Linked DNA regions of Lonchura striata. The protein of the gene in region 3 binds, or shares a complex with, the protein of the main gene of each other region. Links are inferred from orthologs where the notes say so. Each region holds a gene or a part of one and is shown on either strand. Other genes may lie near its edges. The genes, in order: VAMP7, VTI1B, STX7 and BET1L.

Region 1 (7,478 bases), on a different chromosome or scaffold from region 3:
AAAATGCAGGACAGCAGTGCTCAGCAATTCCCAGCCTGGCACTGTTCAGGGACACCTGCTGGCACGATGTGGGAATATTTCCTCCTCTTTTCCCATATCCCACGTGTGTGACCTCTCCCTCTTGTGTCTCCCCAGTCCTGCCTGTGCTGCTGGTGCCAGAGGCCAGCCCTGAGCATCACCCCCACGGACGAGAAGGGATCTGTTGGGAAGTGGAAAGCCACGGGGCAGGAGCTGGGGCTGGACCGGAGCAGCTCCCGCCTGAGCAACAAGTACAGCTCTTCCTAAATCCCTGCCACTGTCCAGGACACGGCACAAGGACAGCAGGACCCCTCTGATCCTCTCCCAGGCTCTTCCTGGCTGGGCCTGAATCAGCTTTGCCTTTGTGTCCTAACCCAACTGGAAGGAGCTGGGGCATTCCCCAGGACCACCTCCAAGCCCAGCTCCTGGCCCCAGCGGTCACCCCTGCAGGAGAGGGAAGGACATTCACATCCTCACAGGACTTTTCATTTCCTTCCAGGAAAACCAAAGGACTTCTGGCCACTGCCTCGGGGTGGAACGTGGGGTGGAGGGATGCGTGTGGGAAGGGAAGGAATGTTGGGGTGAGGAGAAGAGGGAGAGTGACAATTCCCAGCTGTAAAAGCCAAGCAAAGCCTGTGAGGGACAGAGATGTCCTCGTGGTCATGTGGAGGTGGGAAAGGCAGTGGAGAAGATTCAATCTCAGCTGGAAGAGCCACTAGAACCAAGTAAAATATGGGAAAGGGCTCTCTGGAATTTATTATTGGCAGTAATTCATCCCCCAGGTGATTTGCCAGCAGTTTTCAAGGCCAGGTTGGACAGGGCTTGGAGCACCCTGGGATAGGGAAGGAGTCCTTGCCCATGGCAGGGGTGGGAGGAGAGGGAGTGGGAGTCCCTCCCAACCCAAACCAGTCTGTGAATCCATGTGATTCCATTCTAAGTTCTTGCCAAAACTTTCAGAAAATCTACATGAAAAAGCTGTATTTATCAGGTTTTTGACGATTTTTTGTTGGCTTTCCTACATCTCTCTTTTCCCTCTCTCTCTTTTCCTTCTTTTCCCCTTCTACCTTGTCACAGAAAAAAAAGGGAGAGAGGAAAAGGGGAGAAGAGATGAGACCTGCAATTAAAACATTTTCCAGGTGTTGGGATGGACTTGTAGCTTAACTGTCACTGAAATGTAAATGTTTTACAAATAAATCATGAAGACAAATGGGTTTGAGGAAAACAGACTGAGGAATATCAAGACCAGCCCATTTTCCCAATCTGTGGTGCAGAAATTTTCCCAAATATCCCCAATCGGTGGAGCAATCTGTCTCCACGTTCTATAACTTTCCATCCCTGTGCTGAGCAGAACACTTAATGAGCTCTGCAGTATCTAAATTAATAAACTTTTTATTATTAAAGAAAATACAATTTGCAACAAAGTCATAAAAAAACCCAACAAAAACGACCTTGTTTGGACACAGGGAATTCAACACACAAAGGTTACACATCCATGCCACTCCCAAAGGCTACTGCATCTCCTCCTCCTTCTGTGCCCTGAACTCCTTCATGCTCCTCTGAAACAAAAGCAAAGAACAAGTGTCACCAACATGCCCCTGGGGTGGCACAGAGCCACCACCCTGCTGTGCTGGGACTGCTCTGGCTGGAGCCTGGAAAGGCTGGGAAGCTCTGACAGAGCTCCAGGTGGTTTTTCTGGAAGTGACTGAACTTTACAGTCACTCCAAGGGAAAGGGAGCCAGGCCATGCCACAGACCAGGCAGAGCCTGGCCAAAAAAACTCCCAGGTTTTCCTGCCAAAGGTGTCTCCAATACAGGCCTCAGTTTCCCATTCTGGGAACAAGGGACAGAGCTGACCCTGAGCTCTGCAGGAATGGCCCAAGGGACAGAACTGACCCTGAGCTCTGCAGGAATGGCCCAAGGGACAGAACTGACCCTGAGCTCCCCAGGAATGACCCAAGGGACAGAGCTGACCCTGAGCTCCCCAGGAATGACCCAAGGGACAGAGCTGACCCTGAGCTCCCCAGGAATGACCCAAGGGACAGAACTGACCCTGAGCTCCCCAGGAATGACCCAAGGGACAGAACTGACCCTGAGCTCCCCAGGAATGGCCCAAGGGACAGAACTGACCCTGAGCTCTCCAGGAATGTCTCACCTCAAAGGTGTTGAGCACGTGTTGGCACACACCCATCAGGTCATTCAGCCCCTTCCGGAATGGCTCCACAGCAGGAAGGGCCCCTTCGGGAAAAGATGGGAAAAGGTGGATTAGGGACAAGGGGGGTGGCTTCTCAAGGGCAGTCCTTGCCTTCCCAGGGGTGTGCCCCCTCCCCAGCCCTACAGCTTGCAGTGCCAGGGATGCTGCTTCCAACTGCAGCTGGAGCAGAATTCTGGGAGCAGCCTCTGAGGCTCAGCAAAGGGGCTCAGCACTGTGCCTGGCAGAGGGCAGGGAGAAAGGGCTTTCCTTTATTTCACAGACTCCTGGGAAGCTGGCCTGAGCAGGGGGAGTTCCATGAGAACAGGGCCCCAGGCACAGAGGGCCAGCCCCAGCCTCACCTCTGGTCTGGATCCTGAAGTTGATCTTGCTTTCCGAGGGGTGTGTGATGCAGTAGCCACAGAACTCCACGTTAGGGCTGCAGGAGGGCAGAGGGGAGAGGGAGCAGTGAGACCCAGCCAATCCACAGCAAATCCCAGGGAATTAGAGGCTCAGGGCACACCAGGCCTGCTGGGGCTCTGGATGTTTCTAGAATGACTATGGGGAGGGATGTGCTGAGGGGAAACTCCCTGTGTGTCCTGGTTCCCTCACACCCATCTCTCTCTGAGCTGAGCTGGAGCTCTACAGGGCAAAGACACAGCTGGCACCGTGCTGGCACCACAACCAGAGCAGTGCCAGCTCTGCAGATCCAAACATGGGGTCCTGGATACTTGCAATTCTCTCTGTAACCAAACCTGCTGCTGCTCTGCTGGGTGGAATAGGTCCAGGGCACTGGAGGAGTTCCCAAAATGTTGCAGAGCCTCTCCTGCACCTGAGCTGAGTGCTGGAACTTTGCCCTCAGCTTCGGCCACCAGCTTCTTTTATGTTGCCACAGTGATTTATCAGAGGGACCTTAAAGGCCACCCAGTCCCAGTCCCAGTCCTGCCATGGCCAGGGACACCTTCCACTATCCCAGGGTGCTCCAAGCCCCAGTGTCCAACCTGGCCTGGGACACTGCCAGGGATGGGAAATCCACAGCCCCTCTGGACAGCAAATGGAGTCCAGGACTCAGTTACTCCTCCAGCAGCTCAGGAGGGACTGAAAGCCCTGGGCTGAGCTTAACTTGGGTTCCTGGGCAAGGGGAGGGTGTGGGTGGAGGCTCAGGAGAGGCTGGTCAGGCCCTTTGAGGGCTGTTGGTGCTCTCAGGGTCCTGGCATGGCACAAGGAAAAGGAGGAGCAGCAGGTGGGAGCAGGGCTCCGTGTCTGACACAAAGGCTGGAAGGGCGAGCACAGAGGGGATTTGGGATCGTTTGCCTCATCCCAGGGACAGCTGAGGTGTGGATCAGGAAGGAGAAGGCCAGAGCAGGGCAGGGAGGTTCCTCAGAGGCCCCACTCACTTCTTCATGACCATGTAGCGCAGGGAGTTGCCCAGGGTGTGATCCTCGTCGTGCAGCACGAACGTGATGCAGTTCCCGTCCGTCCCATCCGCCTGGATCTGTCACCAGTGCGAGAGGAGAGAAGCTGTGACCTCCCTGAGGTGGGGGACCTGAAGGGACAGGATCAGCTCCCGTGCTCAGCTTCCCAGAGTAGCTGGGAGGGTTATAGATCTCACTGAGCCACCTCTGCTGCTGCTGTGGGACCAAAACACCTTCAGGGAGGAGGGAAAGCTCCAAAATTCCACCTAGTTTTAAACCAGTCCTGACCTCCACTTGCTGCTGTTCACCACAGCATGACAGAGTGCCCCTTGGAGCCATCCTGACACCATCTGCCCTGATGCCAATGCCACCCTACAACTAAGCCAAGCTCGGGAATGACAGAACCACGGGAGCACGGAATCGCTGAGGCTGGAAAAACCCTCCGAGATCCCGGAGCACAGCACTGCCGGGGCCAGCCCAACCCACGTCCCCAGGGCTGCAAACCCCTGCAGGATTTAAAGCACTCCTGCCCGGCAGGCCAGCCCTGTCCGTGGAGGAATTTCCGCTAAGTTCCAGCCTGACCCTCCCCGGCACAACGCGAGGCCGCTTTCCCTCAGGAGCGGGGCCCCGCTCCGGCTCCCGGCCGCGACCCCAGCCCGCCCCCGCCGCCGCTCACGGTTTCCAGCGCGGGCCCGCTGCCGGCCATGGCGGCTCGGCGCTCCCGGCGGCCCCGCGGCCGGAAACGCGTCGGGCCGGGCCGGGCGGGGCCGAGCGGGGCCGGCGGGGCCCGGGAGCGCCGGTGAGCGCGGGGCCGGGCCGGGCCGGGCCGGGCCGGGCGGGGCCGGGCGGGGCCGAGCGGGGCCGGCGGGGCCCGGGAGCGCCGGTGAGCGCGGGGCCGCGCCGGGCCGGGCCGGGCCGGGCCGGGGGTCGGTGCGGGGCCGGCGGGAGGAGGCCGCGCTCGGCGCAGGCACGGGGGGCACGGCGGGGTGGCCGCGCTTACCGGGGCTCACCGGGCTGTATCGGGCTGTATCGGCGGGTGATGGGAGAGCTGCTGTGGCCTGGTGCGCTACTGATGGGTACTGGTGCGCTACTGATGGGTACTGGTGCGCTACTGATGTACTGGGGTGTAATTAGGGTGTTAGTGGCCTGTTACCGGGGGTGTTACCTGCGCGTTGCTGGTGGGTTATTGCCGTGTTACCGGGATGTTATTGGTTTGTGATTTGCTGTATTACTGGGATGTTATTGGTGTGTTATTTGTTATATTACCGGGATGTTATTGGTGGGTTATTGCCGTGTTACTGGGATGTTATTAGTGTGTTAATTGCTGTATTACTGGGATGTTATTGGTGTGTTATTGGGGTGTTACTGGTGGGTTATTGCCATGTTACTGGGATGTTATTGGTGGGTTATTGCCGTGTTACTGGGATGTTATTGGTGGGTTACTGCCGTGTTACTGGGATGTTATTAGTGTGTTAATTGCTGTATTACTGGGATGTTATTGGTGTGTTATTGGGGTGTTACTGGTGGGTTATTGCCGTGTTACTGGGATGTTATTGGTGTGTTATTTGGCATATTACTGGGGTGTTGCTGGTGGGTTATTGCCGTGTTACTGAGATGTTATTGGTGTGTTATTTTCTGTATTACTGGGATGTTATTGGTGTGTTATTTGCTATATTACTGGGGTGTTATTAGTGTGTTCTTGCTGTGTTAGTGGGGTGTTGCTGGTGGGTTATCGCTGTGTTACCGAGATGCTATTGATGTGTTATTTTCTGTATTACTGGGATGTTACTGGTGGGTTATTGCCGTGTTACTGGGATGTTATCGCTGTGTTACTGGTGTGTTATTAGTGTACTAGTGGCCTGTTACCAGGGATGTTACTGGGATATTACCGCAGTATTACTGGGGTTATAGCACTGTGTTACTGGCCTGTTACCGGGGATGTTACTGGGATATCACCACGGTATTACTGGGGTTGTATCACTGTGTTACTGGGTTGTTATTACCATGTTACTGGCCTGTTATCAGGGCTGTTACCAGTATGTTGTTGGGATGTTTTTAGTGTGTTAGTGGGGTGTTGCTTAGTGTGTTACTGGCTTGTTACTCGGGTGTTACCCATGTATTACCTATTATTGAGGTGTTACTAGTGTGTTACTGGTGTGTCTGGGAGTGGACGGTGTTGCGGATGTAGCACTGCATGGCTTAATTAGTTAATTAATTAAGCACAGGTGTGCTGGCAGGGGGTGCAGGGAGGCTGGAGGGAGTTGGGCTCTGCTCCCAGGGAACAGTGACAGGATGGCAGGATGTGCCATGGAGGTTTAGGTGGGATATTGGGAACATTCTGGCCTGGACAGGGCTGTCCAGCCCGGGCCCAGGGCAGGGGTGGAGTGCCTGTCCCTGCAGGGATTTGAAGCCGGCTGGAGGTGGCACTTGGGGACATAGTGTGGCTTTGGCATTGCTGGGAAATGGTTGTGCTCGATGCTCTTGGAGGGATTTTCCAACCTCAGCAATTCCCTGATTCCATGCTTTGGGCTGCATGTGTTCCCTTGTTAGAGAGCTGCTTACTCAATCACCGTTGTGTTGTGGGTCCTTACCCTCCTCCAACCCTGCAATGCTGCTTCCAGGAAACGTGATGGGGCTGGAAGACCACGTGGATTCATTTCCTTGGTGATTTGGCATCCGTAGGGATGCAGTGGGGGAACCTGAATTAAACTGTGTGCAAAAGGGAGGCTGAAATTGGGATAAGTTGAAGCACAAATGGCACAAATCTCAGGTTCAAAATGAACAGGAGAGCCCCAGGACTTCATGGTGGAATGTTCTGTAATGAAATAATGATTTTTCCAACTGCCCAGCAGAGGTTAAAGGGAAGCCTGGGCTGCTTTCTGCTGAGCTCACCCTGCTCAAACGATCTCTTTATTGCAGCAGTTTGCAACTCACTGAGTTGCAACACCTCCCCTTGTTCCGCGGTGCCCTTTGCTTTCTGTTAGGAGGATTTCTGGAAGTGCAGGCAGGGACTTTCCACTGCTCACTGGCACTGAGCTGGGAATCTTTTGGGCCAGAAGAGTTGCTGGAAAACGGTAAATCACCCCTACAGGAGTTTTAAACATCATGCTGAGACTGAGCCTGTGTTTCTGATGTTCCTTAAGAGGTTTTTTGGTGCCTTTTTTCCATGCCTATGTATTGGGAAATGGGAATTGTTCCCTGGGAGGGTGGGCAGGCCTTGGCACAGGTGCCCAGAGCAGCTGTGGCTGCCCCTGGATCCCTGGCAGTGTCTCAGGACAGGTTGGACACTGGGGCTGGAGCAGCCTGGGACAGTGGGAGGTGTCCCTGCCATGGCAAGGGTGGCACTGGGTGGGCTCTGAGGTCTCTCTTACCCAAACCCTTCTGTGTTTCTGGGATCCTTCAGTTCAGTCCCCAGAGGGACCTCAGACAGCAGCTCATGCATCTTGCATTGTCTTTTTGGAAGGTTTGGTCTTGGCTGCTTCCAGCTGTGTAACATTGTAAGTTTAGATAGAAAAATGCTCTGCAGAGGGGTTGATTCACAGGGATTTCATTCTCCTGTAACTGCTGAGGAAGGACGTTCTGTGGCAGTTTAGCAGATTTGTGATACTAACAGGAGTAACACAGGCTGGTACAAAAAATATTCCTGGTTAATCTGTTGCTGCAGCTGGTGTTGCTGCCAGGCACAGAACTCCTGTGTCCTGAGCACAGCAAGGGCCAGGAATTTGGGGAGTCAGGACTGTGAACTTGGGAGATGAGGCCTGTGAATCCGGGGAAGTGAGAGCCAGGAACTCAGGGAATTGAGGGCTGGGGGATCCTGCAGTGCCAGCGAGTGCCACCTCACTCTGCTGCTGAAGTGTC
Region 2 (7,962 bases), on a different chromosome or scaffold from region 3:
CTGATGCCATTGTTTGTGTAGCTGGGTTACAAATGAAACCATGGACATGAACTCTGGAAAAACAGCCTTTGGAAGTCAGTAATTTGTTTCATTCAGGTTATTTCACTAATCTGATTCAAGCAGTGCCCTCTTAAACCCACTTTGTTGTCTCAAAGTAATGGAAACCCATCAGAGATCTGGAAATGCAGCATTTCCTTGCTTTATTTCTCCTATTCAGAATAATAAGATGCTGCACTTATAAGCTGGCAGCCAAAGAAATGCCAGCTTCCAAAAGGCATAGAATCATGGAATGGTTTAGGTAAACCAAGCAGCTTGAGACCTTTTTGTCTACAGGCTAACAAGAAATCCAGCAATGTGGCTTGAAAACATTCTGCTGTATCTGGCTGGTATCCAGAAACACCAAAATATACCGAGAGATTCACTTGGTGTCGCTCTGCATTGAACCACAACTCAAAGCACAAGGACAGAACTCTAAAATGCAGCAGCAGTGCCTGTGCCACAGCAGCATCACCCACATGCTCATCAACATTAAACTAACTTATTTCCAGACACTTAGAAAGAGATTCAGTTGGAAAGTATAGCTAAGTGAATTCATGGAGAGGAAAATACATTATTTTAAACTTATCCAGGCTGCTTCCCCTTCTTACCAATTTGGATGGGGAAAAAAAGGGTGTTTCTAGAATTAGGAATTTGTCATCTTGTTTATATAGAATGAAACAGCATTTCCAAACCTCTGCCCCTCAAAGACATCCCAAGGACTATAGGTTCTGTGTTGCTCTTGGAGCATGTGAATTGCCTTAAAAGAGTATTCCAAGGTCTCTTTTATCACCTTCTGAATATTTTGGGATCAAATAACTCAAAAAATTAATATATACTCCCCTCCTCCTAAGTACAAGAAGCAAAGAACGAACATCAGGACAGTGGAATGACAAATTCCTAAATCTTAAACTCTCTTAGAAACACTTTAAAAGATAGTGCCAAGATTTTTGCAGGAAAAAAAAAAAAAAAAAGTAAAGAATAGAACAGTTGTCTTAAAATTCTGTAGCTTGTCTAAAAAAGTCAATGTGCAATTATTTGCAATCTCTTGAAAAAAAAATCCCAAGTATCACAAAAATAGTTGCCTGTAAATACTCCATTTAAACCCACATCTCAGAATTCACTGCTCATAACTACCACAGTGTCAAGCAGACTTGGTTTCACTTCACCAAGAAACTGATCATGCTCATTTCTATAGAGAAATAAGGATTTCTACCAGAAAACATATTGCTTCTTTTAAGCTTTTTATCCTTGTTGACCACTAGTGAAATTAAGTCAGGTTTGCAAATTGTCATTTGTGGGTTTCAACACCTTTCTTGTACCAAACTTCCTGAAAATGCTGATGCCAAGGACTGTGACCCTGAACTTAACTCATTAAACAGAAAGTCAGGTAAGAAACAGAGCCCTTCGTGCTCTGTGTTATCTAGTGCAGACTGGTATGTTCTGAACAAAGTGTTCTTATGATTTTACACAAAACTGATCAATTGCGGGAGAATGAACACTGCAGGAGAACGTGACTGACAGTCCTTGCTCATCACTGGGGTAGAAAACCTGAGCTGAACTACAGCAGCTCGTAACAGCCACAGATTACATTTCCCATAGGAAGGGTTCAATCAGAGGCATTCAGTGACACTGGCAAAATTCTCCTTGTCACATTGCTTCCCTTTCTGGTTCTCAGAACGCTGCCAAGTATCAAGATTGCATCAGAAGCACAGATCCTTACAGAGGACTGCTCTGTGAGAGCATGTTACCAGTGGTGTGCTATAAAGAATACCGGTGAAAACAGGTTGTGCTTCTAATACAACTTAGTGTGGCTAGAGTGATAGGTTTTCAATATTTTCTGAGTACATACTGCATAAACCAGACTTTTAAAACAATCATTTCAAATGCAAACATTCTCCAACAAATCTACAGACGTTTCTGGGAAGTTCTGCCAATAAAAACTGCTTCTATTTCTGCCAATGAGGTTTTAATTGTGAATCCAACATAGCAAATTAAAAAAAGGGGGGACAAGAACCCCAAACCCCCAAAGCACTGCAGTTGTTATAGAATCAATTTAGCTGGAAAAGACCTTTGCAGTCATTGAGTCCAACCTGACCTAACATTACGCTGTCAACTGGACCATGGCACTGAGTGCCACATCCAGTCTTTCCTTAAACACCTCCTTAAACTCCACCACCTCCCTGGGCAGCTCATTCCAATGTCTAATCATGCTTTCTGTGAAGAAATTCTTCCTAATGTCCAACTTTAACCTCTCCTGGTGCAGCTCAGGTCTGTGTCCCCTTGTCCTGTCACTGGTTGCCTGCGAGAAGAGGCCGAGCCCCACGGCTGCAGCCTCCTTTCAGTGGTGTGGAGAGTGAGGGGGTCACCCCTGAGCCTCCTGTTCTCCAGGCTATACTCCAGTTCAAACAGAAACAGCATGAAAGAGCGTCCAAAGAAGGGCTCCTCCTCAGAGACGGATGCCGTGAGCCTAGCACGGCAGCGCTTGCCAGCGGAGTTGAAATTTGCCAGAGCCGAGGAGCTCCAGTGGAGCGAAGCCACACACCTGCAAGGCCACCAGGACATGGCAGCAGCTGAGAACGACACAGGGCAGCGCCACCCGCCTCCTCCCAGCGAGCGCCTACCAGGAGCGACGTCCCCAGCCCCTAGAACCGCAAAGCCCCCCACACAGAGTCCTGACGGGACGCTGCCCTCCCCGCTGCTCAAACGCGCCTGTCTGACGAGAAGCACCCGAACGCTCCCGCCACAGCCCCGCAGCCGGCCGCGGCGGCCCCGCCCGTGCCTCGAGGAACGCCCACTCCCCCTGCCCGCCTCACCGGCCGCACTGCCCCGCAGCCGCTCGGGGACGCCCCGCAGGTCTCCGTGCAGCCCGCGGAAGATCTCGTGCAGCCGCTCCAGCTGCTCCGAGGACGCGGCCCCGCGGCCCGCCATGGCCCCGCGCCCCCGGCCCTGCCCCGGCAGGCGCTTCCGCCGCCGGGGCCGCCTCGCGCACTGCCTGCTGGGAGCTGTAGTCCCGGGGAGGCGGCCGTGCCCGCACCCCGCGGGGGCGCTCGTCCGCCGCCGCCACGGAGCGCCCCGGGCCGGCAGCGCCGGTGCGGCCCCGGGGCTCCCCGGTACCGGCGTGACCCGCCGCCGCCGCGCTGCCCCCAGGCCTGGACGCCTGCCCACGTGCACATCGGTGCACGCTCCTTGCCAGGGTTCATGACATGAGCCTCGGCGTGGGGTTGTAAAAATGTGCTTCAAACGCCACTGCCGACAGCCGCCACTGCGCTGTCCCTGGAGACATTTCTCGCTCCTTAATTGCGGACTGCGTTTCAGAATGTTTCGCGGGACCCAGGTCGGAGTACTGTGGTTCCGGGGCAAAAAGCAGCGGGCCGCCCGCGTACCTGCGGGCAGGGCCGGCGGGGGCGCGGTGCGTGCGGAGGTGTGGCGGTACGGGTGTGGGCGAGGCCAAGCGGGCGGGGCGGAGGCGGATCCGAAAGGGAGGGGCGCGGGCTGCCGGAGCCGTGCGCTGGCGGTGCGCGGGTAGCTGGCGGCAGGGATGCTCAGCTGCTGGGAAGCCGCGCTGGGCGCCGCCGTCTCCGTGCCCGTCTTTCTTTTCGTGGCAGCGCCCTACATCAGGTGCGTCTTACCGAGCGCAGCCCCTGCCCTTCGCGTGTGTTCCGCCCCGCAGGGCGGCGCCCGTTGGGGCGCGGAGCTGGCGCGCTTCGCGTTTCTTGCGTGTGTGTCTGTGTGAGTGCGGCGGGAGTGCGAACAGCGGGAATCCCGCGCTGGGGTCGGAGTTATTCAGGCCTGCCCGCTCCAGCGCCCCGGCGACACAGCCGCGCTGCCGGGGCTTTCCCGGGGCTCGCTCGGCCCTGGCACCGCCGGTGCTTTCCCCGGGCTCCCTCCGGGCGCCGGCGCGCTCGCGGCGGCGCGGCAGGGGGCGGGGCCCGCGTTCTCCTCAGGGCGCTGCGGCGAAGCCCATTGGCCAAAAGGCCTCGAGGCGCGCGGCAGCAGCCAATGGGAGCCGTGGCTCCACTTGACGCACGGATGGGGCGGGGCCGCGTCGGGAAAGCGCGGGGGATCGGGGGTGGGGCGCGTTCCCGGTGTCCCGATCGCGACAGGGCCGTGACCAGCCGCTTCAGGCGAGGGCGCCCGTGGCTCCCTGGGGTGAGCCCGAAAATTGATGCGAACCCAGGTTCTGGGTGCTCAACCCCGGACGGGGCATGCTGAGCAGGCAGAGGTGACTGGTGCCTCCCCTCTTGCAGGCGGTATGTCGCTGGAGGACGGTGTAAGTCGACAGCAAGGTTGGAGGGGAAGGTGGTGATAATCACGGGAGCCAACACAGGCATCGGGAAGGAGACCGCCAGAGACCTCGCAAAAAGAGGCAAGTGCAGTCTTGTCAGCACGTATGCCTCTGCAGCCGGAGTGGCTGTACCTTGTGCCAGTAGCCCCTTTTCTGGACCTAAGGAAGAGGTGTTGTAGGCTTATATTGAAGTAAACTGGATTCCAGAGTTACTGCAGATGAGCCCAAGTGCTGTTCCTTCCGAGGCTGTAACCACTGAAGTGCAGGTTTCCAGTTCCTTAACTGGGAACTTTTCATTGCTTGGACTCCAAAAATGTGCCTTGGGGACATAAAAATGCGTTGCATTGCAACTGATTGAAGGGGACTGGGGAAGTTCCTGGATTCTGCTTGTAGGAAGCTGAGAAATGCCATAGGTCCACCACTATGTGCTTTAGTTATTCATGTTTCAAGCTAATTTGATGCAAATGTTATTTGGCTAACTAGTAAGAAGATTAAACTACCTGTTCACAATCCATTTAGAAATTACTCTGGCTGGAATCCATGACCTTTATGTGCTCCTGGCTTGATGTTCCCATTATAGGGGCAGATACAATGCTATCATACCAGTGTTGTATGCATTCCTGACCTGGGAGAACATGGACAGAGGCACTTAAGATGTGTATTTGCCTAGTCTGAAATCATCTTTCAGCAGGACTGTAGCTCACACTTGAGTGGGGAAAGCTTTGTCCCTTCCAGCCATCCCCCTGACTGATGCTAGTTCCCTAAAGAAACAGTATATTGTTTGTAATTGCTGGGCATGGTCAGCCTGCTTGCCATAGCCTTGATCATCCAGTGTGCTCCAGTGATCTCATCTTATGTTCCTGTTGTTCCCCCCTCCCCTCCTTGCAGGTGCAAGGGTAATTATTGCCTGCAGAGACACAGCAAAGGCAGAAGCTGCAGCCAATGAAATCCGAGCTGAGACAGGGAACCAGCAAGTTATTGTGAAAAAACTGGACTTGGCTGATACGAAGTCCATCCGGGAGTTTGCTGAGAGATTTCTAGCAGGTAGAGTCTCTAGATTCTTATTTTTAGTGGGAGTATTTTACTAAGGACTGCTGTCTGTTCTTCTAACCATTGCCAAAGCCCTGTCCTGCTTGTCTCTGTACCTCTTGGGTACTGTGGTTCATAGCAGGGGCTGGTCAAAGGCCATGAGCTAGTTTGTGGTAGGAGATATATCCTTTTTTTAAGGTGATGTGGCTGCAAGTCAGACAACAAGGGGTGAGTTGTACTACCTTCTTGTCTGCATTCTCTGTTTCCTTGTTTAAAGATATTTGTTGTTTCTTGCAGAGGAGAAGGAACTCCATATTCTCATTAATAATGCTGGGGTAATGTTATGCCCTTACTCCAAGACTGCTGATGGCTTTGAGATGCATCTGGGAGTCAATCATCTTGGTAAGGCTAGTGGAATCATGTTTGCACTGAATATGGAACCATAGAATCGTCAAGTGATTTGGGTTGGAATTGCCCTTAAAGATCATCTTCTTCTAACATCGATATCTATAGCAAAATGCCAAAGGAAAATCCTTTTGGATTTTCTCTTCCTCATTCTTCCTTTTACTGGGATGATGGAGGGTCAGAGTCAGAATTCTGGAGATGCAATGTGATGTGTTTGTGCATTGTGGATCTGTATGTGTTACCTGGGACATTTTGAAATGTATGATGGCTACAGCTTTTTGAAGATGAAGAGCAGAACCTGAAGGCCCCAAAAAAAGTGTAGATGTCAATTCAGGGGAATTTAACAGAAATTTTCTTTTTCCTGGACTTGAAATGAGGACAGCAGTAAGGTACCACGTAGAAGCAAGCAGGGGAACCCTTTCTAGAAGGATGACCTTTCGTCTCCCCCCTAGGTCACTTTCTCTTGACTTTCCTCTTGCTGGAGCGTCTGAAGCAGTCTGCCCCAGCCCGCATCGTGAACGTGTCCTCGCTGGCTCACCACGGAGGCCGAATCCGCTTCCATGATCTCCATGGTGAGAAGAGCTACAATCGTGGCCTTGCCTACTGTCACAGCAAACTGGCAAACGTGCTCTTCACCCGGGAGCTGGCCAGGCGGCTGCAAGGCAAGTCCCGGGGGCAGGTGGGGTGTTTATCTGCTTGGCTTTCTGAGCACCATGATGGGGAGACTGGATTGAAGAAAGAGCTGCAAATTGTCTATGCAGAAATTGAATGGTTTGAGGCAAATGTCACTGAGAGCTCTTTGCAGGAAGAAAATATCTCCTGTCTGTGGAACCAGTAGACTTACAACACAGATTGTCTCTACAGCAACAGGGTAGAGTTTAGTAGCTTGGCACAGTTGAATGTATCTCATTGTTCTTTGGTGTTTGTCAAAAACTAGCTGCATCCACAGAGACAATTGTAGTATGTGGATGGAAGCTGAAAACAGCCACAACTGCAGTCTCCAATAGAAAAGCTAATGCACACTCAGCTGCCTTAAATGGTGGTGGCCCGTAGAACAAGCATAAGATTAGATAGTACCTTGCAAGTCACAACATCTGTCACAGTCGTGTCATTCAGTCCTGTTCATAAACTTAAGTAATACTGATTTACTACAACAGAAGTAGTGTCTTCCCCAGGAAATTACTATTAGAGTAAGTCAAAAGAGGCAGGTGTTCTCAAAAGCCTGCTGGAAACTGCTGCTGGTTTAGCACTCAGACCCTCTAGCACTTTGTTTTGCAGAAGGCACATAATGACTCCTGTGTTTAGAAGGGAGCAGGGGATGCTCCTCATCCAGTGCCATGGATGAGTGATTTAAACTGCTTCAAGAATCGCCATCAAAGGTATTAGCAAAAGTGGTTTTAACCTGATGTCATAAGAGGGTGACTTAAAGTATGATGGCAAGGTTCAGTCTATTATTTACGTGGAAGACACATGCAAAGGAAAACTGATTTAGAATTAAATTAGAATGATTCACACAGGACTGGAAACACACTGTGTAAGGAAGACCCTCCTGATGAATCGTGAGGCTCAGCATGGAGCCCCATGCTTTTTAAACTCCTTAGGGAGCCTATGTCCAGTTTGAGTCTCAGATTTGGACGATTTATATGTATACCAAGTTTCTGTAATTATTACTGAGCAGCTACATGGACTAGTAATGTTTCCTCAATATTAATTCAGCAGTCTTTACCAAGGATTTATTGCAAGCAAAGGGCCTCTCTGCCTTGCTTAAGGAAGGCTCTCAGTCTCAGGTAAGAAATCTCAAACCTTGAGAGGTGCTTCTGCTCCAGGGGAGAGTTAACCTGCTGTGCAGTCCAGTTGCAGTCTGAGCTGAGGTTCAGCTGGACTCATCCAAAGATTTGCTGTTGGTAAAAGCTCTCTGCCTTGAGGAGCAGCCTTGAGAGGTGAGCCAGCTCAAGTGAAGACTGTCACCCTGCAGTCATATTGCCTAGCAGGGAGAGCTCAGAGAAGGCTTAATTAGGCTGTAATATTTACAGAATGGAGTGGTTGGCTTGTATTCAAATTACATACCGTGGGAAAGGTACATGAGACTCAGTGCATCCACAACCTTATTTGTTCCTGGATAAAAGAGTATTGGAAAAGCCATGTGCTACTGATGGGTGTTCCAAATGCATGTGCACTGATACCCACTGGCCTCTGTGGGTTTC
Region 3 (6,954 bases):
TTGTCATTCCTGAAAGCTCCATCAGGACAAAATGAAGTGGTGTGACAAGCACTGCACATGTCAGATTTCACAACAGTCACATGATAATTTAGCAGACTGCAGTCAGGTACAGTTAATAAGCACCTAATCTAGTCTGTATTTTCTCATTTAGATATTCAAAGAATTCTCCTTCTCCCATAAATCTAGCCCAGGTACATTAGGGTAAGAACCCTTAAGCCATAGTTTTTCTGCTTGAGCAATATTATAGCATTAGGACCTAAAATGTTTACATGGACCCTTAATTTTCAGAAAGCAAAAAGTACATACTGAATTCCATAGAACACTTGAAAATTGTAACCTGATCTGATTTTATGCCTTTAAGTATCCAGAAACAAGTCATTGGGCTTTCCTTACAGGATATTTTTTTCCTAATCAAAGGTCACAGTAACAAAGCTTCTCCTAAACAATATGTGGCTTCCTTTATAAACTATCCCTCCCTAAAAAAAAAAAAAGTGCAAAATTCTTTAAGCAGGGTGAAAATACAGGCAAAAGTGATGAACTGCTGAAAAACTTGGGTGAAATTTCAGCAAGTCACAATGTTTGCTACAGAAAAACTAAGACCTCCTGCTACAGCAACTGAGGGATTCTCATAAGAGACTCTTAGCAACTGACTTAGTAAATACAGGTGAGCATTAAATCAGTCATTATTTTTGCTAGGGACGAGGGAGGTTTAATTCTTTTCTGGAGTTGTGTCTTTTTTTCCTTTATACTTAAGCTAAAATATTAGAGACTGATATTACATTTCCCACTTTCTGCTTTTACAGCTTATAATTTGCTGAAGTTCTGATCCACAGGAAGGCTGTAAGCTCCCATAATACAAAATCAACTGTGGAGGATAACAAATAAGCAAACAAAGTAGCAGTAAAATTAGATTCTTCTTGCTTTCTTAAAAGAAAAGTTTCCAGATTATTTTTTTATCCTCTACTTTCAGGTAGAAGTCAAACTTAAATCCATACATGGTAGGAAAAAGCAAAATTTAAAACTGCATCAAAACTAACAGCAGAGAAGTCAAAAGGGAACTGCCGACCTACTCTGCAGAATTCCCTTAGCCTTGCCATGTTACTGATGCTGACACCTACCAAAACCAAGCTTGCATCATCTAACAGCTCTATGTTATTAGATTGTAACATTGATGAGTGTTTTAGTCATTTTTCCTAAAAATACTTCTGTTGAACAAAGATGCAGTTTAAAGCAGCAACATTTAAACTGCTCAGCATTAAAAACTAAATTACATAAGCCTGAAATTCTATTAGGCCTAACGCATCACCAACACTCAGCATATATGGATAAAAATTAACATGCTTACAATTGTCTGATTCATCCACACTGATATTTATGATGAACTAGGTGAAGGAAGTGCATAGCTTTCACAAGCTTAAGAACATATTAGTGCTTGGCAAAATGCCTTAAGTAAGAGAATTATGTTTCCTAGGAGCACATAAGGCATTTAAAAGCCTCACGATGAAGCAAAGAATAGGAAAATGAACACTGGGGACTGGAACTATGGGGGAAGAGAGGGAATGGGAAGTCTGAAAATGGACCTGATGACCATTTCCAAGTTCCCAGTTTCTTGTGCAGCTGGTAGGCAAACAATATCTCACGGGAAAAAGAAGATGGATGAGAAGCCAGATATATCTGGTGTGCTGTTTGCTCTCACCCAATTCTCCATCATGGTAGCTTGTTTGCTACCAAGTGAACAGATCAAGCGCACCAAGGAACAAGTTACCTTTGTACAAAACCTGATTGCACAGCATGCCAAGTCTCTCTGAGGCCCACCAGGGTGCTAATGACTACATATAGCTCATGGTCTCTTTTCTTCTCTCTTGGGAGTTTCAGTTCTGTGTAAGCCACCAAGAAGAGCGCTACCTCATATTCTTCCAATGACTACAAAAGGCATTGTCATGAGGCAAACATGGACACAGGTTATAACAATGCCACGATTTAGCACTACTTTCTCCTAATTTTGACATATTTTAACTCTTTTTTTGGTCCCCTTTTCCTTCTTTTCCATTAAGAGCAATTGCACAATCCCCAGACTCTGAGCAGAGGGGCTGCACTGCCGGCAAAGCACAAGCTTGTATATCGACACGTCAGGAGGGCTCCACTCGCCCTGCTGGCACAGCCCTCTCTGCCTTTGGACGGCTTGTGGAGGGGATCACAGCACGGGAGCACATAGCTACTGGCCAAGTATCCTGAGATTTTAACACCGGGCATCTTCAATTAAGATGTAGTGCCCTGCACTGAAAGCAAAAGGGAGTGAAACCCTCCGCTGACTTGCTGAGTTTGAAGAAGCGCCCATTTCTGATGCAGAGCCGAGTGATTCACCAGGACAACAGCGATAACTTCGGGCCAGGAGCTGGCGCGCCAGGCCCGGGCTCTCTACTGACATCGGCCACTTTTATCGCGTCCCTTCCGCTCATCTCGGACCTGGAACAGCGAGGGGAGCATTTCCACAAGGCGAGGGTGGAAATGCACCCTACAGTTCCACACCAGCTCTATAAAACACCTGCTGCAGGCCCCGACCGTCCCCCGAGAGCATCGCCAAGCCCAAAGCTCTGGTCCTGTGGGTGTCACAGGGAAGGGTGCGGGGAAAGGAGCTGGTGCTGACACGGCCGACCGCGCTCCGACAAACAAACACCGGGCTCTAACAAACACCGCGCTCCCACACCAACACCGCGCTCCCACACCAACACCGCGCTCCCCCCGCGGCCCCGGCCCCGCCTCGCCCGAGCCGCCCCGCTCGCCCCACGGCCGGGCAGGGCGGCGCGGCCCCGGCTCCAGCGAGGCCCTTCCCGCCGCCCTGCGGCCGGCTCCCCGCGCCTGACAGCGCCTTCCCGGCCCGCCGGACACCGCCCCGGCTCCCCAGCGGAGCTCCCGCGGCTCTCACCCGGCCCCGGCGAACGCGCTCCCGGGTGCGGCCGGGGCCGGGGGCGGAGCAGGGCGGGGAGCGGCGGGCAGGCCCCGGCCCGGCCCGCCCCGCCGTGACGGGAGCCGGGGAGGCGCGGCTCCGCCCGGGCGGCTGCGGAGCGGGGCCGGGCCGTCCCCGGCGGGCGGCTCCGCCCGGCCTGCGGGGGGATACTTGCTGACGGGCCCGGGGGCTGCCGAGGGGAACGGGGCAGCCCCGGCAGCCGCAGCCCTGTGTGACTGGAAAAAGCGAGAGTGAAGGGTGGAGAGAGTGTCACTCAGGGAAAAGATGCTGTTGCATCAGGAAGCAAGGCTAAAACATGGTCAAGGATACAATATTACCGTGATAAAATACGACGTTACATTGTTAATAGACTGGTTTGCCCGCCCTGCCTTCCGCTTGGGTTATTTCTTCTCTAAAGGGGAATAGACTCTTCAAAATGAGTGCGTGGTAAATTGTAGATCTCTTCAAAGATGCCTTTGAATGCAGAGATACAAACCATACAGCTGGGAGTGGGGGCAGGGGAAGCCAGGAGCACGAAGAAGGATGCGTTCACACGTTCACCAGGCTCGGGAGGACAAAGAGGATACGATAGCCACAGCACGGGGGCTCCTCCTGGCCCAGCTACCTGAGAAGTGACAGAGGAGCCTCCAGGCTCCCTACACAGCATTTGAGGCATTTCCCCCACTTCTTCAAAGGGACAATGACAGGGCCAAACGCTCCCCAGAGCCCTGGGGCTGAGCTGCTTCGTCTGCAGGATACCCCCGTGTGTATTAAATAGCACTTAGCGAACAGCCCGTGGCACCCGATTGCTGGGAATGCCGCCTCCTCCACACTGACCAGCTTCACCCGAGGAAAAGCTGCAGAAACTGGGAAGTGCAAGTTTAATTCTGCTTCATCATAGAACCTGGTCATTGCTAAGATTTAGAAATAGCTGAAGCAGTGAAAAATATATTAGGCATTTTAACCCAATAATAACAGAGAAGTCTAATAAACTGCAAACACAACGGAGTGTTAAGTTAAAGGCCTGAAATAGGCAAGACTACCCTTTACCTTACATGGGTGGTTCTCGTTGGATCTCAAAGCATGCTGAAAACAGAGACAATATAGACTCCGACACTTGTATGGGCCTATGTAGAGTTCTTACAGTAATTGATGGTTGGAAGTGTCATTTTATCACTTTCATGGATTAAAGTTACTAAGGAAAAAAGCCATTCTGATATGCTTTTTTGCTGAAGAAATGCTGTATACATCATCAATCTATTTTTACCAGGCTATTTTATTAGTGATTATTTTAGCATTGCTACATGTGTGGGTGTTTTCTCCAAAATCCCACTAGATGGTGCACTAATGAGAGTATTATGCACATTCCTTCCAAATTAAGCGCCTGACTTGATTTATATAAACTCCATTGATTGACTCAGTCACTCCTGCTTTATAAAACTTCAGCAGAGATCACTGCCAGTTTTCCTCCAAAAGACAGAACATCTTTTACTTTATGATTTCAAAAATGTACTTCCCCTTGCAAAAATGATCCTTCATCAGTGAGAATACTTTTCCTGCAGGCCACCACTCAAGTACTTTTTTTTAGGCTTAGAGGTAAGACCCAGTCACTGCTGATCAATGCTCATTCTCATTCTATAGACACAAGGTATCCAAATACTTTTCTAGTGAAGCTGTGTGCTTCATGAAGAAAATCCTGCTGCTAGGTCACATCATAAATGTCGACATTTTGCTGTTAAATATCTCAAAGTCATATGATTATTTAAAGTAACCAGTTGAAGAATAATATAAAAGCCTGAGAGGGAAAAATGGATTATAAAATAAGCTTCTCAATGAAATTTTTGTACTATAAAAATACCTAAATAGCCTTTGTAATAGAATTATAAAATAATTATAAATGTACAGTTACTAGACTATTGATCATATTTATTGATCAGAACTGCTAATAGCATGGTATGCCCTTAGAATATTTTTGTTAACTCCTATAGAAAAGCCATTGAGTGGGAGAACATGCCCTGTTTCACCCTTTAAAATAAAACGAGAAGATTTCTTCAGTTTCTTATTCTAGCAATCATGCATAAACAGGGGTTGTAAAGAAGCCATGCCTAAATGTTATCAGAAATGCTGATGCATTTCATTGGCTCATCTCTAGAGTTCTCACATCAGCATTACCTGGGGGTTGAATTAAGAATCATCATTCACCTATCTCTCCTGTTTCGTGTGGAACATAATCAGATTTCAAATGACTGAATTAAATTGAGAAAGCTCTGAGCAAAGAAAAGAGGAAATGCTGAGTCCCTTCTATGTATAGTCACTACATACCATGGAAGATGCTCTGGATATTTACTGACTGAAGGTCAGAGTGTTTGCCATTTATATTCTTTTCATGTGTATAAAACAAAAATGAAAGGATGTCCTGTATATATATATCCCAGTATGGTATATAACATCTGAAAGAGATGGAACTTAAACCACACCAGAATGGTGTGATTTTGAAAAAGCACACCTTCCTCCTGGCCCAGCATCCAAATCAGGACCCACCTTCCTGACTGTATTTCTACCTCCCACCTCCTGCTCCTGCCCTGGCCCCTAATGAGAAGACACACAGGCCTGGCAGTGTGGGTGGCACAAGCTCCAGGGCCACCAGTGACACAGAAATGAGGCACTCATTTCCATGCAGCTCCCTGGGCCAGCACAATGCATGATGAAATGAAGGGGAGCAGCCCAGCCCTGGCCTTACGTTCCTGATGAGTGTCCTCTTTCCAAGGCATGAGCAGTGCCTAAGCGGTGTGTAATTTACTGTAGGCGCCAATTTCATTCTCTGCTATCACATCTCATTTGTGCACCTCTGGCTTTACATAGGAAGAGTAATGTTTTCAGTATTTAACAAAGAGTCTGGCAGAGCTTCCCAGGCAGTTATTACTGACACATTCCACCATCAGCAAGAATTCCTGTTATTATCGTTGTCATCTCTGTTTGCTAACTTAATCAAAATATCCACTCCAGAACCTGAAATGAGATTAAGTTCCCATTATACCCAGGCCTGTACATAATTATGATGGATGATGGTTTACAGCTTGAATAGATTTATGGTTTAATTATACTGCAGAATGACCTGTAAAATATCTCTATTAAATTAAAAAAAAAAAAAGCATTGACCATTTGCATGTTATTTAGGCTGGCACTTTCTCTCCAGCAACAGTAATGAACATAGTAGCATATGTTTTAAATAAACAGAGATCTATTCACAATATTGATAATGTTTCCTAAAAATAATAAAAAAAATTCACTACCAACTTATTTTCAAATCTTTCTTTGCCTAGGAATTTAATTTTCAAAGACATGTTATGCTTTCATCTGCAGTAGTGAAATGAGCTGACATTAATATTTCAAAGCCCGATGTTTAATTAAGTAGTACCTGAAAATACATAATTTCTCTAACTTCAGACAGACCATTTTGAAACAATAAGCATTTATAAAAGGCATAAAATGAAAGAGCATTGCTTTGTTCAGATATAGAAATACAAACCTACAGAAGAAAAAATATTAAAAGAATATATCGACTGCAAGTTCAGCAACTAGCTCCGATAGAATCCAATAATCTTCATTTGGAAAATGAGGTCATTGTTAAGCAATCAATAGTCATTATTTTACAGTTCATCATCATCTTTGTCCTCCTCTTAATTTGCAATTCATAATGACCTTAATTACTTTTGGGAACCATGCAAAATAAAAGAAGAAACTTACACAAAGGGATCCTGACAGAATTTGTCTAGGTAAACCAACCAGATATCAAAGGTAAGAGGACACAGGACAGCTATAAAGGTGAGGAAAATGTTGTTTAGTGGTTTTTCCAAAATTAATTTTCAGAAAATCAAGAATCTTGGCTACTTCCAGAATTTTAACAATATTTCCTCCTTACTTACCTACTCTGCCATTGCTACTGTACGCATCAGTACTCTGGGTTCTGCTTCTCCCTTTCTCCATAATTCAGCTGGCAGTTTAGC
Region 4 (7,945 bases), on a different chromosome or scaffold from region 3:
AATTCCCACTGGGAACAGGGAGAAAGCAAAGGAACACCCAGCCATCCATCCATGAAGAGGGTTTGCTGGAGAGTCTAAATCAGAGGAGAAGGAATGGCTGAGCCCTGCCTGTTACAGGAAAAGAGAAGCAAATAAGCAAACACACCCTCCAAGGTAAAGCAGGGGTTCCTTTTGTACTCTCTAAATGCATAAACAAAACAGCAAATCCCTCCTTGGATCCCCCCACTCCCAAGAGCACTGCGGGGGGAGTTCCACCTCACTTTATTGGCACTACATCTCCCCAAAGTGCTCTAAAAGCAGGATGCCACGTTAACCACAGTTAACTGGACCTTCTGCCACCGGTATTCTTTACCCTGATTTAGTAACTTAATTTGCACATGTGTGGGAAGGTTCTGGAAGGTTCCACACAAGTGCAAATCCATGTGGTTATGGACTGTGGCCCTCCCTTCCCAGAGGGTCCAGCCTGGTTTGCCCACAAGGATGATAAAGACAACCAAGCCAGGATTTAATGAAAGTCCCGCTCTCCTGCATCTCTTCCCTGCTACAATGTGAGAGTATCCAGGCCCAGATCCATTGCTAATTCCACCCGGATTAGCAATGCACAAGTTTCCTTTCACAGTTTCCTTTCAGCCCAGGGATATGGTCTGCAAGTCCAAGGGAAATGGAGAGTGGCCACACGGAATGTAAGTCACACATTGGTACTCCCAAATCCCCTAAGTCAGCATCCTAAATCCTACAGCTCGCAAAGCTCAGCTGGGTTATGGAGTATCCACAAGTCCCTGGATTTGTTAGTTCCTGGTTTTGATCGAGGGAGGTCATGTGGAAGTGGCCCTTAGAAACAGCCCACGGGATGGAGACAAGGCAGGAGGTCACGGCCAGAGCCATGACCCCAAAATCCTGACAGACACGAAGATCCCTTTGGAGCCAAACTTGTTTTGGAAGAGCTGCCTGGGCCCAGCCGGAGCGCTGACAAGCTGGAAGGAGAAGTCACTGGGAAGGTGGAGGTGTGGCTGGAGGCTCCTCTGGAAAACATGTGGCCAGGTCTGTGGATGGTGAGGTCTGGCCTGTGCCACCTGCCAGCCCGGGCTCAGGTCCCCGCCCGGGACACCAGGTAGTAGAGGATGAAGAAGATGAGGACGAGCACCGCGGACACGGTGAGGAGCAGGCGGCGGTTGTCGCGGCCGGAGCGCGCCATGCCGGAGAAGCGCTTCACGCTGCCCGTCAGCAGCCCTGTCACGCTCAGGAAATCCGAGTCCTGGTGGGAGGAGACACCTTGGAGGCATTGCAGGATCATAGAACTTCCCAAGTTGTAGGGACTCACAATGAGCCAGTCCAGCTCCAACAGCACAGGACACCCCAACAATCCCAGTGCTGATTTAGGGCTTCTTCCTTAAGGGCTTTTGCCGTCCCACCTCTCATCCCAATTCCCTGATTTGCACAGAAAGCCCCGTGTCCCGTTTGCCAGGTCCTTACCATGCCATCCAGGTAGCGGTTCTGTTCCTCAGCATCCTTGTCAATATCCAGAGCCAGCTGCAGGGCAAGGCAGGAAATGGGCATTAATGAGCTTTTAATGTCCAGAGAACCTCTAAAATCTGAAATGCAAATTATTAAAACAAGCTGCTGCTTTCCCAGCTCCAACAGACACACAGGGGCTTGTCTGGTGCAGGAACAAGGAAAATGGCATTTCCCTGTCAGGTGAACTTTTTCAGCTCTGAAAATAAAGCCTGGCTGTCTAAATCTGCCAGCTAGAGAAGGTAGTTTAAACCCTGGGACACAATGGCAGGAATTCAGCTTGCCCTTTTACACAGTGAGTCATCAACTTCTTTCATGGTTTGTACTACACTTTTAATAATAATTTAGAGCTTAAAGCTCTAAATCAAAGTGTTTGATGTTAATAGGAGCAAACCAGCATTAAGAACAGTTACACAGAGACACAGGTATTTTCCAAAATTAATCTGCCTGCCTTTTTTCCATTAATTTTTCCCCAAGGATGTGAGCTTAGCAACACTCCTGTGTTCAGGTTAGGCAGGGCTTGGAGCAACCTGGTCTAGTGGAAAGTGTTCCTGTCCATGGGAAGGGGTGGGACTGGATGAGCCTTAAGGTCCTGTCCAACCCAAACCTTTCCATGGTTCTGTGATCCCCTGCAGGACTCCCAGGTAATCAGAGCCTGTCCTTCACCTCAACACCTGCTGTGACCTCGGCACTCACCGACTTCAGCCTGGTGACCTTGCTGGCCAGGCTGTCGGCCATCCGCTTGTTCTCCACATCCAGCAGGTCCTCCATGGCGCTCGGGCTCTGCCCTGGGGAGAAGAACGAGGAGCACACATCATGCCTGCCGTGCCACAGCACAGCTCTGTTCCCACCACAGCCCCTCCACACATGCTTTGTGCAGTGGAACCTTCTGAAAATGTGACCAAAACACCACAGACTTCCCCCAAACAGGCCAGGGTGAGAAGCCAGAATTCAGGGTATCTGAAGTGCCACCCCAGCCCAGCAGCAGCTGTGGGGGTTCCATGGCCAGTGACATCCAGGGGTGAGATTTGGGTGAAACCCGGGGCCCTCTGCCCCTCGGCCGTGCTGGGGTCTCTCGGCATTGCCCCCATTGTGGGGCAGGTTGGGGCTGGGGGGGATTAGGAGTTCTGGGGCAATTAGGGGCTATGGGGGCTCTAAGAGGTATTTAGGGTTTATGGGGGGGGGGGGCTTAGGGATTCATGGGGACAATTAATGGATAGAGGGAGCAATTAGGGGCTCGGGGGGGCAGCCCAGAACCCCAAAAAAGGCACAGGGAGGCAATTAGGGCTTACGCGGTGGGGGGGGTGGGGTGTTATTCCCGGGCTATAGGGGGAGAAATCGGGGCACTGCAAAACGCCCCGCGGGGTTCAGTGGGATCGGGAGTTCCTCCTCCCTCCGAGCCGCTCCAGCCCCTTCTGCCCCCCAAACCTGTCGCTGTCCCTCGTCCCCTCACCTCGGCCCCGCTCCGCCATGGCTGCCCCGGCCCGTCCCGCCCCGCCGGGCGGAGCCGCCACGAAATGTCCGCCCGCTCTTCCTCCTCCTCCTCCTCCTCCTCCTCCTCCTGCCCCCCGGCGCCGGGACCCTCGGGCCGCTCGCCCGGGCCGGGGCGGAAGGGCTGGAATTCCCTCCCGAGGGATCCCGGGCCGCAGGTACGGCCGGCGCCCTGCCCGGGCACAGCGGCGGGACAGGGGCTGGGGGAGGAAACAGCGCCTTGCGGGCAAAAACCGGGGGGTTGGGGACAAATATAGGGCTTTGGGGACTAGAATAGGGGTCTGGGGGCAAAAAGAAGTTTTGGGGAAATAATCAGGGGTTTTGGGGGTGGGGAAATAGAGGTTTAAGGGGAAAATAGGAGCTTGGGATAAAAATAGAGGTTTGGGGGGAAATAGGGGCTTGGGACAAAAATAGAGGTTTGGGGGGGAAGGTAGGGGTTTAGGGATATAAACGGGGTTATGGGGACAAAAAAGGAGGTTTGGAATTTACTCAGATGGTGAGGGAAGGAGGTGGCAGTAGGAGTATGGAAATGGGGATATGCCCAATGATCCGTTGGTTAATGTCATCCCTCCAAAAGCAGAGGTGGATCCCCTCCATCCCAGCCCCTGCACATGGGGATGCTGCCCCGGGCCAGCCCAGCCTCCTGTCTCCGCAACTGTCCGCCTTCCAAAATGCAGGATCTGCCTCTTTTGGTCCCCCCAAAACGCCCCTCTGGGGCTGCGTGGGCAGGAGGGGACAGCCCGTGTGATTCCCAAACCCCGGGAACCCTGTGCCTGGGATCCCGGTTTGTTGAGGTTGGTGTGACCAGCTCAGCCTCATCCTCATGGCAACACGGAAGCCGAACACATGTCCGAGCTCAAATCTGCTGGATTTCCCCCCATGGGAATCATGTCCCAGCGCCCTGGGCTCGCGTGGCTCCGTGAGCCGCTAAACCGGTGCCGTGTCCGAAATAATCCCGCGGTGCTGCGCATCTGCTGGCTGGCACTGTCGGCAGGGACATCCTCGCCCGGCGGTGGCCTGCAGGGATCGGCCATGATCCAGCCCGCCACCAAACCCTCCTGCTCTGCTTCCCACCGCCTGCAGCCGGAGGATGCTCTCCCGCCTGGCTGCCTCGCCGCTCCGTCCCTTGTCACTCCGCGGCAATGTTTCGTGCTTTATTTGTTATTTTCCCCCTGTGCGGCAGCAGAAATCAGGGCAGGCGGGGAGGAGGAGGAGGAGGAGGAGGAGGAGGCAGGGAGCTATTTCAGGGAGCTGCTGTTATCTGCTCCACGTTAATCTCCAGCTGGTGGGGGGAAGGTTTTCCCTGAGTGCTTTCCTGCGAGGGCATATATTAAACATTGAAAAGCAAAGCGAGGAAGAAGAGGATTAGCAGGAGAGAGAGAGAGGAAGTTGGCTGCTGGCTTTGCTCGGGTTATCCATCTGCTCCACTTTTATGGATGCAGCAGTGTGAGCAATATCACTTGGGATTTTTTTGTGTTGTGTTTTTTCCCTCCTTGCTCTCTCCACCCCTTTCTCTCTTCCCTCTCAGAGGTCTGTGTGCCGAGCTGCTTTTCCATCACCCTGGAAATCCCCTTGCTCCTCTTCTTCTGGGGCTGTGCCATAGCTGAGCTGTTGGGATAATGGAGCTCCAGGCTGTGGTGTCCACGCTGGAAAGTGGGGAGCAGGACACGGTTCTCAAGGTGCTCCAGGTCTACAACCAAGAGGTGAGTGAGCATCAACGCTTCCCTCATCTCAGGAACTCCTAAAAAAATGATTATCAAGATCCCAAGTAAAGCCTGGCCTGGAAATAAGAGTCAGGGTGAGGACTGAGTAGGAGGAGCTTTTATGTTAAGGTAGTTTTGGAGGTGCTGAGAGAATCCAGGGAGGGGCTGCAGGTGAAACGATGTTGGGATTTGCAAGTCAAAAGATGATTGGAGGTAACTGCTGGGATCTCATATGGGCATGGCTCTGAAAGCAGTAAATAATGAATGTAGAATGTAGAATATCAAACCCCAATGATCTGGAAGCAGAGATGGAAGTGTTTCTAGCCTTAAAGTAGGAAAAGATAATCCGTGGTGGTAAATCTCTGCTTGGAGAAAGGAGACTGAGGGGAGACCTCAGCCATTTACATCTTCCTCCTGAGGGGCAGTGGAGGGGCAGCTCCAGTGTCTGCTCTCTGAGCAGTAACAGGACCCAAGGGAACAGCTGGAGATGTTTAGGTTTTATATTAGGAAAAAGTTCTTCCCCCAGAGGATGTTTGGGCACTGAACAGGCTCCCCAGGGAATGGGCACAGCCCCAAGGCTGCCAGAGCTCCAGGAGCATTTGGACAGTGCTCTCAGACACAGGGTAGGATTGTTGTGGTGTCTGGGCAGAGCCAGGAGCTGGACTGAATGGATTGTGTGGGTTCCTTACAGCTCAGGATATTCTATGGCTCTGTGAAATCCTGTTTGAAACAGACTCTAGTTGTCAGAGAAACTCGGAGGTTTCCCCTGAGAGGGGCTGGCCCTGTGGATCACTCTGACTCACTCTGCACCAGGCTGGAGTAGGTGGAAGCCAGCAGGGAAAACCTGAGGAATATTTTGCAAGAGTGTGTGAGAGAGGGAGTGTGTGGAGCTATTCCTAACAGTCAGATTTGGAACGGGGAGATATTGGCCAAGAAGGAGCAGGTGTCTGTTAAGGACAGCACTAAGGATTAACAGCACCAGCAGCAGGTGCAAACAGTGTCTGTGTGCCCCCAAACCATGATATTTCCTGTTGGAGTCCCCCAGCTGGGTCCTTCCTGGGGTATTGAGCCTAGGGAACTGCAGCCACAGGGTTTGCTGGCCTGTCTGGAGGAAATGGAGCAGTCAAAGAGGATTATGAATCTGCAGATAAACCTGGCACTGCCTGGCATTGCTTCTGCTGCAAGACTAATGGTTCTGTACGCTTTTCCTCTGGATTTGTTTTTAATTCACTGTTGTGCATGCAGTTTTTGCTTGCTGGGAATATGCTACAGCTAAAGCAAAACCCCAGGTGTGGCCAAAATACCCCCAAATGGGATTACAGCCTGAAAAGAGGATGTGCTGAGGGAACAAGCAGCCTGCTTGTGGAACACGGCAGTGGCAGGACTGGGCCATCAGCTCCTGGTAGTGTGGATGGATCAGCTCATGGAGCCCACACTCAGCCTGGCTGGAGTACACCTGTCCTGCCCCCACACCTGGGGCTGCTCCAGGCAACTGTGTCTATCACTGCTTCCAGGCTGGACAGAGCCCATTCTATCCCTGGGCTTTTGGTGACTGCACACACATAATCAGTGTTTTATGGATTTTAAATGTTTTTGTTCTCCAAGCTGGGATCAAACACTCTCTTGGTATGAACAAGGATTGCCTCAGTCACTGGGAGGTGCTGCTTCTCCCCAGGCACCTGTGATCTCCAGTTCCATGGGAGCAGGTTTGGTCAGGAAGGAGACTGTCAGTGAAGAACAAACAAAATAGCAAGAGAAACACAATGAGTGGAGATCAGGAGTGTTTGTTAGCATGGGGACAGGATGGAGTGTGGAGATCAAGTCCTTTGTGTTTAAAGAATGACCTGGATAACCACGAGGATCCATTCCCATGTACCAAGGAGACAAGACTTCTTTTGGTCAGGAAAAGGAATAATAAATATCAAGGGGAGACGTGTAGGCACAGCTCAGTGGTATCACTGAGCACAGGAATTACCGGCTCTTATAGGATATTGGGATTGGGATGAATAGCCACTGTGCTGCTGCAGTATTTAAACTAAATCCATCTGTCAGCTGGCCTGTGGCATTCCACTGGTGCTGTGGAGCCAGGGGTGATGCCCATGATGTGGGGGACTGTCAGGAGATGGTTTGTTTGCTGTTGCAGCATGTTTTGGACTTGCTGCTTTCCAGCTGAATGGCTCTTCTCTGGTCCCATGGAGTTTTAACCTATTCCTCTTTCTGATTGATTTTGTTTTTCCCATAGAAATCTCAGTGCTTCATCTTTGAGGATGAGGAGCGGGAAGAGAGGAAGGTAGGCACATGCTGCTTGCTGTCCTCCTCTGGTCAGTGTGTAAATCTGCTGCTCTGTACTCATGTCCAGCTGGGCTTGGCAAGCAGCTCCCACATGAGAAGAACTGAAAGTTTTCCATTCACTTGGTTGGGGAATTATGTGCTTGGACTGTCTGGCTCTGCTTTTTCCATCAGTATTTGGTGGTTTTGGATAAAGATTGGCATCCATCTGACACTAGCAATGGTTCCATGATCCATATAGTCCCAGTCATGGATGTGATCTCTGATGCCTCCGGACAGGAATCACAGCAGTGCTGGCTCCGGGGGAGGGTGAGGGGCTCTGTTGGGAGCCAGCAGTGGGATTTGCCAGGAGCTGTGTATTAGCAAATCCTTTGAGCTGGTGTAATCTGGCACTTGGAGGGAAGGAAGACTCTGCCTGCTCATTCCTGCTCCTGCCTGGCTGTTCTGCCATAAGAATAACTGTTTTCCCTGGGTTATTTTCCAGCTGGCTCAGTTCTGTGGTCAGTTCACTGGTGGGTGGTGCCAATGTCTGTGTTAGCACAGCAAGTGCGGGCCAGGCGACCGGGGTGGAGAGTTGGACCTCCTTTGGCTGTGCCAGGGCCAGCTGCTGCCACATGGAGTGTTCCAGGCACAGCCTGAAATGTGGGACTGGATCTGATGAGATCTGAGCTCTTTGCCTTGCACTGACCCACTGTGTGAGCTGGCACAGTCACACAGGACATGGCTTCAGGCACAGTGTCCCACTTTTGGGATGTATGCCATGAAATATGAGATGAACAACACCACTAGTTCCTGGTGCTTGAGTTTACAGATGGTTCAGCTTCAGGCACACACCCTGAGATCTCTTTCCCCTGAACCAGCCTGAGGCTTTGGTTGCTGGGACTGTATCTGAAATTCTGTTTCCCTGTGAGGCAGGAGAAGAGCTGTACTTCATCATTTCCCCAGGATGT

Evidence for each region.
Region 1: STX7 (region 3) and VAMP7 share a complex: the UniProt entries of both Homo sapiens proteins name them as parts of the SNARE complex. The link is inferred for Lonchura striata from reciprocal best matches to the Homo sapiens genes STX7 and VAMP7.
Region 2: STX7 (region 3) and VTI1B share a complex: the UniProt entries of both Homo sapiens proteins name them as parts of the SNARE complex. The link is inferred for Lonchura striata from reciprocal best matches to the Homo sapiens genes STX7 and VTI1B.
Region 4: STX7 (region 3) and BET1L share a complex: the UniProt entries of both Homo sapiens proteins name them as parts of the SNARE complex. The link is inferred for Lonchura striata from reciprocal best matches to the Homo sapiens genes STX7 and BET1L.

Annotation. Positions count from the first base shown.
Region 1 is NC_134616.1:15,623,750-15,631,227, forward strand, and holds the start of VAMP7 (vesicle-associated membrane protein 7), read left to right. Parts: upstream 1-4,465; 5' UTR 4,466-4,503; intron 4,504-6,611; exon of another isoform or gene 6,612-6,694; intron 6,695-7,478. Other genes in the region: endothelin receptor type B, read left to right, coding at 136-285; DNA-directed RNA polymerases I and III subunit RPAC2, read right to left, coding at 1,527-1,574, 2,170-2,252, 2,568-2,644, 3,603-3,700, 4,297-4,326. UniProt on the Homo sapiens protein: Involved in the targeting and/or fusion of transport vesicles to their target membrane during transport of proteins from the early endosome to the lysosome. Required for heterotypic fusion of late endosomes with lysosomes and homotypic lysosomal fusion.
Region 2 is NC_134608.1:32,868,433-32,876,394, reverse strand, and holds the start of VTI1B (vesicle transport through interaction with t-SNAREs homolog 1B), read right to left. Parts: upstream 3,006-7,962; 5' UTR 2,968-3,005; coding exon 2,853-2,967; intron 1-2,852. Other genes in the region: retinol dehydrogenase 12, read left to right, coding at 3,578-3,657, 4,287-4,405, 5,213-5,368, 5,651-5,755, 6,211-6,420. UniProt on the Homo sapiens protein: V-SNARE that mediates vesicle transport pathways through interactions with t-SNAREs on the target membrane. These interactions are proposed to mediate aspects of the specificity of vesicle trafficking and to promote fusion of the lipid bilayers.
Region 3 is NC_134605.1:59,343,934-59,350,887, reverse strand, and holds the start of STX7 (syntaxin-7), read right to left. Parts: upstream 3,015-6,954; 5' UTR 2,927-3,014; intron 1-2,926. UniProt on the Homo sapiens protein: May be involved in protein trafficking from the plasma membrane to the early endosome (EE) as well as in homotypic fusion of endocytic organelles. Mediates the endocytic trafficking from early endosomes to late endosomes and lysosomes.
Region 4 is NC_134608.1:53,232,994-53,240,938, forward strand, and holds the start of BET1L (BET1-like protein), read right to left. Parts: upstream 3,012-7,945; 5' UTR 2,985-3,011; coding exon 2,966-2,984; intron 2,301-2,965; coding exon 2,209-2,300; intron 1,531-2,208; coding exon 1,474-1,530; intron 1,256-1,473; coding exon 1,088-1,255; 3' UTR 1-1,087. Other genes in the region: RIC8A (chaperone Ric-8A), read left to right, coding at 4,623-4,706, 6,949-6,996. UniProt on the Homo sapiens protein: Vesicle SNARE required for targeting and fusion of retrograde transport vesicles with the Golgi complex. Required for the integrity of the Golgi complex.